Oryctolagus cuniculus: one gene and its partner. The protein of the gene in region 2 purifies or fractionates together with the protein of the main gene of each other region. This does not show direct contact. Links are inferred from orthologs where the notes say so. Each region holds a gene or a part of one and is shown on either strand. Other genes may lie near its edges. The genes, in order: GLG1 and OSBPL8.

What was found.
Region 1: the proteins of OSBPL8 (region 2) and GLG1 purify together in Homo sapiens (co-immunoprecipitation; 3 studies listed by BioGRID and IntAct, with this or other methods). This does not show direct contact. The link is inferred for Oryctolagus cuniculus from reciprocal best matches to the Homo sapiens genes OSBPL8 and GLG1.

Annotation. Positions count from the first base shown.
Region 1 is NC_091449.1:57,072,015-57,075,837, reverse strand, and holds part of GLG1 (Golgi apparatus protein 1), read left to right. Parts: coding exon 1-102; intron 103-1,425; coding exon 1,426-1,568; intron 1,569-1,665; coding exon 1,666-1,767; intron 1,768-2,676; coding exon 2,677-2,784; intron 2,785-3,823. UniProt on the Homo sapiens protein: Binds fibroblast growth factor and E-selectin (cell-adhesion lectin on endothelial cells mediating the binding of neutrophils).
Region 2 is NC_091442.1:78,875,695-78,879,517, forward strand, and holds part of OSBPL8 (oxysterol-binding protein-related protein 8), read right to left. Parts: intron 2,549-3,823; coding exon 2,464-2,548; intron 854-2,463; coding exon 682-853; intron 1-681. UniProt on the Homo sapiens protein: Lipid transporter involved in lipid countertransport between the endoplasmic reticulum and the plasma membrane: specifically exchanges phosphatidylserine with phosphatidylinositol 4-phosphate (PI4P), delivering phosphatidylserine to the plasma membrane in exchange for PI4P, which is degraded by the SAC1/SACM1L phosphatase in the endoplasmic reticulum.

The DNA of each region.
Region 1 (3,823 bases), on a different chromosome or scaffold from region 2:
CTAAAACTATGTTGCAGTGCTTAAAGCAAAATAAAAACAGTGAACTGATGGACCCCAAGTGCAAGCAGATGATAACCAAGCGCCAGATCACCCAGAACACCGGTAAGTGCTCAGCTATAGGTGGAGCAGAGTGGAGTGGAAAGGACATATGGTACCAAAGTCAGCCAAGGTGCCTTGCTGTCTGCATTTTAACAGTGGAGTCTGGATGTGAGCAAATTGCCTTAGTCTTCCTTTGAGGGAATATCTAGAGAAAAGGAATAAAGTGCAAGAAGGAAGAAGCTGAGAACTAGAAAAATGTCCTTGATAAAAGAGGAGTGAGGATTGGTTAAGAAAGAAAGCAAAGCAAAGGAATGAGGACTTGAGTTCCTTAGAAAAGTCTGGAGATTTAATGATTTATACATGTGGCAGGTAATTTGGTTCAGAATAGAGAAACTTCAACTCTGCCTTACAAGAACCTGAATAGGATGTCTCCTAATGTTTTAACTGTGACAGGCAAGGTTGCTGAAATTTGCTTAATCTTTGTATGGATTACTTAGGATATGGGACCACAAACCCTTTATTTTTATTTAAAGATTTATGTATGTATTGTGTGAGAGAGACAGATCTTCTGTCTGCTGGTTCACTCCCCAGATGGTTACAACAGCCAGGTCTTGGCCAAGCTGAAGCCAGGAGCCAGGAGTTTCATATGGGTCTCCCATGTGGCTTACGGAGATTCAAGCATTTGGACCATCCTCTGCTGCTTTTCCCAGGCCATTAGCTGATTCGGAAATGGAGCAGCTGAGACACTAACTGGTACCCATGTGATATGGCAGTGTCTTAGGTGGCAACTTAACCTGCTATGCCACAATACTGGACCTTATTTTTTTTTTTTTTTTAAGATTTATTTATTTATTTATTTTAAAGAGTTACAGAGAGAAAAGAGAGATCTTCCTCCTGCTGGTCCACTCCCTAAATGGCCACAACAGCCAGAACTGGGCCAGGCTAACGCCGGGAACTTCCTCTGGGTCTCCCACATGGGTAGCAGGGGCCTAAACACTTGGGCCATCTTATGCTGCTTTCCCAGGCACATCAGCAGAGTACTGGTCTGGGGTCAGAGACAGAGCTGCTGGGACTTGAACCAGCGCTCATATGGAATGCTGGTATTGCAGGCGGTGCCTTAACCCACTACATCACAACACCCACCCCCACAAATCCTTTAGAGGTGCTGCAGAGGAGAAGGATTCCCAGGCCCTGCAGAAGTGCCTTTGTGTGAACTTGTACTGCTGATTGACAGCAGAGGAGTGAGAGCTCAGCAGACATTTACCAGGAAACAAACCAGTCATCCTCAGTTGTTGACACCTACATCCCTTATGGGGAATTGGATTTCTGAAAATGTGTGAACCCAGGGATGAAGCTTTCTTGCATACTTCTTGCTGTCTGCTGTAGATTACCGCTTAAACCCCGTGCTGAGGAAAGCCTGCAAAGCGGACATACCTAAGTTCTGCCACGGGATCCTCAGTAAGGCCAAGGATGATTCAGAGCTGGAAGGCCAGGTCATCTCCTGCCTCAAGCTGCGATACGCCGACCAGGTAGGCTGGTGGTTGCCCTGGGGCACCTCTTGTCCCCTTGTCCCCAGACCTTTTCCCCCTTCCCCGGGCTGACACGTCCTCCCTGCATCCCACGCAGCGCCTGTCTTCAGACTGCGAAGACCAAATCCGAGTCATCATCCAGGAGTCGGCCCTGGATTATCGACTCGATCCCCAGCTCCAGCTGCACTGCTCAGACGAGGTAGGACGTGGGCCAGAGCTGGTCAGAGATCGGGAGGAGGGGAGGTGTTCTTCACTATGGTTTCTCTTCAGTGCTGAGTCCAGGCTTGGTTGAAACCCATGTCCTGGGCCCTGTATCACTTGAATTCCTGGTTCTTTGCAACACTAGATTAGATTTCGCATTGGTCCTACAGTGTTGGTTCCATATTTCTCTGTTGAGTAAGGGCATTTTTAATGATGGTTCTCCATGTATGATTTGTTCTTTGCTTCTCTTTATTCTATATGGTCAACTCAGAAGGCCCAAAAAAGACAGAAGTGCTCCCATGATAGCTGTTCAAGAAGTGTCCATCCTTGGAAATTACTTAACCTTGTAGCCATCTAGAGAACCTGTTCAACATACATTAATTTTAGGAGATTAACACTAAAGATGTTTTAAAGAAGCTGCTCATAAAACTTTGTATATAAAGTTAAGTTTGTATCTTTGCTGTGGGCTGTGTTTTAGAACCCTTTGTGCACATACATCCCAATTGAGAGTCTGGGCCAGACGTTTGTTATCATTTGCTTTGTCAGAGTCAGGGAGTCACCTTTCTTGTGATAGTTCTTGGACAGGCTGCCTCCAGCCACAGGGTTGGCAGTGAGATGGGTGCATTCATTGAGTTGCAGCTCTGTGTGTCCAAATGGAGGCTGCCAGCCAGTGTGGCAGAGAGACGTGAAATCCACCAGGAAGCTGTGATCACCAAGTGAGCATGTTTGGAAACTAAGATTTCTGGTTCTGGCAGCACTGTCCCTTGTTCATGACACAGCAGCTGGCCCCTGTGGAAGGAGCAAATGCACTGTGAAGTGCAGGGCCCGGTTAGAATCACCAGATTCACCTGCTTTGGAAACTGCTGGTTTCTGTGCCCAAGGGGAGGCCTTGTTTTTGTCTGAACAGATCTCCAGTCTCTGTGCTGAGGAAGCAGCGGCCCAAGAGCAGACAGGCCAAGTGGAGGAGTGCCTCAAAGTGAACCTGCTCAAGATCAAGACGGAGATGTGCAAGAAGGTGACCTCCCGCACCTTGCTCTTCCCTCAGTTCCTTTTCTCCGCCTTTGTCGTCTTCACTTTAACGCTGTAGTCTACACACGTAGTGACAGAATCAAAAGCTAGACCCTGCTACCTGGCATTCTCTGCTGTTCCCCCTTACCAAACTGTAATATGGACCCTGACTGCTAACCTCCTGTAATTTGAGCATTCTGTCACCTCTACTAACTGCTGGGAAAGCCTCTCATGTTTGCACTGGGACCATTGTCGGAGGGCACCGGGAGTGCGGTACTGAAGCAAAATGTCAGAACCGGTGTGTCAGTGAGTGTTGGTGAAAATCCAAGAAATTAAAAATTCAGTTTATTTCAGAAATAATATACTTGACCTTTTTTGAAAAGCTTTGTCTTTTATTTTGAAAGACTTATTTATTTATTTATTTATTTGAAAGCGTTACAGAGACGGAACTTCCATCTGTTGGTTCATTCCTCAAGTGGCTGCAGCAGCCAGGACTGAAGCCAAGAGCTTCGGCCCACATGGTCGGCAGGGGCCCAAGCACCTGGGCCATCTTCCACTGCTTTCCCCAGCGCATCAGCAGGGAGCTGGATTGGAGGTGGAACAGCCGGGACTCTTAACTAGTTGCAGGCAGCCACCCAGCCTTCTGTGCCACAGCACCGGCCCCAGTATAGATATTACAAAAAAAGAACCACAGAACTTTGAGGAGGACTTCTAAGCAATATTTGAGCTTTGTTTTGATTATGTTGTCGTTCTTTCTTTAAGAGGCAGAGCTCTCACTCATTAGTTTACTCCCCAAATGCCCACAGTGACCCCTAGCCAGTTCCAAGGCTCAGAGCTGAGTGCAGGTCTCCCAACGGACTGGCAGGAGCCTGACTACTTTAGCCATCATGGCTGCCTCCCAGGGAGCACATTGCCTGGGAGCCAGAGCCAGATGTCAGACTCACACACTCAGGGGCAAGACAGGCATCTTTTTCTTTTCTTTTTCTTTTTTTTCTTTTTTTTTTTTTTTTTTTCCCTTAAAGATTTGTTTATTTGAAAGAGTTACA
Region 2 (3,823 bases):
GATGTAATATTTGAAACTTATCTTGAAAAATATATTGGGTTATGACAGGAGGAAAGAGGAAGAACAAAAATCATTCTTCCTAGAAGGAACACCACATGCAAAAACAAAATGGTTAGTTAGTGGGGTTGTATGTGGGAACAGTAAAGTAATTCACATTGGTTAGAATCAAGGAAATAAAATTTCTACATCTGACTATAGTAGTTAAAAATTTTTTTAAAAGCCATTTATTTATGTATTAAAAAGGCAGAATTACAGAGAGAGAAAGAGATGTTCCAACTGCTAGTTCATTCTCCAAATGGCCACAATGGCTGGGGCTGGGCCAGGCTGAACAGAAGCCAGAAGCTTCATCCAGGTCTCCCATGTGGGTAGCAGGGGCCCAAGTACTAGGGCCATCCTTCACTGCTTTCCTTGGCACATTAGCAGGGAGCAGGATCAAAGTGCAGCAGCTCAGACATGAATCGGCACACAAACGGAATGCCAGTGTTGCGGGGGGGTAGCTTAACCTGCTGTGCCACAATGCCAGCCTCTAAATAAATTTTAAACTATATCTTAGACTACATGATGGGAAGATAGGAAAATTTCAATTCTAGTTACGCTACTAAAATTCTAGGCCTTTGAACTAATCCAGTGAACAATACGGTCACTGAAATCATAACCAATTTAGTGGCAGTATCTACTTACTGGAAGTTGTCACCACTATGGAGATTGTTAGCACGTAATAAGCCATACAACGTCACATGTGTGCTATCTGATGAAATGCTCAGGTCATGTTCCTTTCCTTCCCTGATCATTGTACGTTTAAGAAGACTAGAACATTTCAAAGCCAACTCCAAAGCATCCATCCAGCACCTTCCTAGAACACAGATTCAAAGTAGTATATTAAACTATGAAATCGGCACCCATCTTAATTATGTTATCATCAAACATATCATTATTTCTTCAAGAAATATGTAATACAAAATTAACTTGAACATAAATTATTTCCAGGGTTTCTTAAGGCAACTTTTCCAGTTTGAAAAATACTTTTTAAATACTAAGCACTTAGAAACCACTTACAAGTGAATAGTATACAGCATGTATTAGAAAGTATAATGAATATAATATAAATGTACTTTATTTTTCAAACCTTAGAATGCTAAAATGTAGCACAATATGAAGGTACCAAGCAAGGTACACAAAACATCCTAAATGGGATATTATCTTTAGTATAAACAAACCACTGAAAAAACATTGTGTTGTTGATATGTCTATCTCCAGGCTTAGCATCCATTCTACTTACAAGTATGAAAGTTTTTTAAGTCACGAAAATGTCTGCATAGTAGTATCATTAATTGCCATATTAGTTAAGAGAAACATTAATAGCTTTACTTTTTAAATAAAAATATAAACCTATATTAACAAAAAAGTTCATATACATTTGTTAAGTATTCTTAAAATTGATGTGTTTCAAGATCTGCTGGAAATATCAGCCAAGTAGAACATTTTCATATTGAAAGCTCATATATTTTAAAAAATCATCTGATAAAAGGAAACTTTGGAAGGTTACCAGATTCTCTGTTTCAAGCTAGTCTCAACTATGAAACATGAACGTGAGGAAGAAATCCATTATCAGTCACTAAGGTTTGAAAGTTATCTACCTTTATATAAATAAATTTTGCTCTTACCATATTTGGCTCATAAATTATATATTGTCATAGAATAGTATAGAACAGTTTGTATTTGAATAAAAAAATTCCCAGAACACTGTATATGTGTCTCATAAGTGATAAAATTTAGACAATACTAAATGCATATATAAAATGATAGAACTTAATGGGTTACCAGAAAGAACAGTAACAAGTCAAAAAGGTGTTAAAATGTCAATGGAGGATGCAGAAGACATCTGCAAGCTGGTAAATCATGACTCAATTCACAATATCTCTTTCCTATTAGATTTCTCTGTTCATCTACAAAGTTAATGATGTGAATATTTTAAGAATGTCAATTGTTAAATCAATAACAGGAGTCACTGTGCACTTACTCCCCATGTAGGATCTCTGTCCTTAATGTGTTGTACTATGTGAATTAGCGGTATAACTAGTACTCAAATAGTACTTTATACTTTGTGTTTCTGTGTGGGTGCAGACTGTTGAAATCTTTACTTAGTATATACTAAATTGATCTTCATCATATAAAGATAATTGAAAATGAATCTTGATGTGAATGGGATGGGAGAGGGAGCGGGAGATGGGAGGGAGGTTACAGGGGGAAAAGTCGCTATAATCCAAAAGTTGTACTTCATAAATTTATATTTATTAAAGTTAAAAAAGTAATGTGAATATTTTAAACAACTTAAGACCACAATGTTTCTGTTGCAAATGCCATACCTAAAACAGATCTTCCCCAAGGAGAACACATAGAAGCATATAAAATAATCTCTTAAAAATAAAGACCAAAATCCAATTCGCCAAAAACTGTATTTACCATCTGACTCTGAAGTAGCTCGGATAATCAAATAACTGCTAGGTAAGGGCTGAGTAATGGACCCAACTGCTTCACCTTTTGGACCCTGCAAAACAAAATAAAGTAAATGGTGTAGAGTAAGTACTGTGAGAGCTCAACTTTATATTATCCACTATTATCTGTAACAATCTAAATCAGGCATGAATTACAACTTACATGCAAACAAGCTTTAATTTCACCCTTCTTAAGGATGCAGATGGGAAGCACCAAGGAAAGTACTCTTTTCCATCAAATGCAGTTCATTAACAGAAAATGATAGTTAGGATCACTAAAATCTTATTTCTATTTATTGCTAATATATTAAATAGAACCTAAAATTTACCATACTGAGCCAAATTTTAATTTAGCAGATAATTTCCATCCTATAGATATTATTAGATAAGAAATAGTAAATTTCTCAAAATCTAAACAAAACAATTAGAGATATAATTCATAAGAAAAAGAGAAATAAATTTTGACTGGGTCCAGGGTAAAATAAATCTCTATTTTATAACGAATGATACATTCATTTGTATTAAAGGCCAATTATACAAGTTAATTTTATTTTTCAAGAAACAAGAAAGGAAATTCTGTTTTTGGCCAGAGTTTTTTTCAGAAGTATACAACAAAAAATTACTAAGGCTAAACGTAGATGGACACAGTTCTAATCTGGAAAGAAAACTAACCATTTAATTTACAGTGTAACTGTGAAAGAAAAGCAAGTTTTAAAGCTGTTTCTCATTAAGAGTTCTTTTAGACTATCAAAAATAGATTTCAAGAAGCATTAACATTATAGATTCAAGACTCTTCAAAGGTATGTATGTATATTGCCTCTTGAAGCAATACTAGCATGAAAAAAAAATCCAAGCATTTTCAGTCAGATCAAATCTGTGTTCAGTGGTTTTCCATTTTTTTTTTTTTTAAACACTCCCATCTGGGAAGCAGGCATCTTTTATTTATTTAATTTAATTTATTTAGAGATTCACTTATCTATTTGAGGGCCGGCGCCGTGGCTCAATAGGCTAATCCTCCACCTTGCGGCGCCGGCACACCGGGTTCTAGTCCCGGTTGGGGCGCCGGATTCTGTCCCGGTTGCCCCTCTTCCAGGCCAGCTCTCTGCTATGGCCAGGGAGTGCAGTGGAGGATGGCCCAGGTGCTTGGGCCCTGCACCCCATGGGAGACCAGGAAAAGCACCTGGCTCCTGGCTCCTGCCAGGATCAGCGCGGTGCGCCGGCTGCAGCGGCGGCCATTGGAGGGTGAACCAACGGCAAAGGAAGACCTTTCTCTCTCTGTCTCTCTCTCTCTCACTGTCCACTCTGCCTGTCAAAAAAAAAAAAAAAAA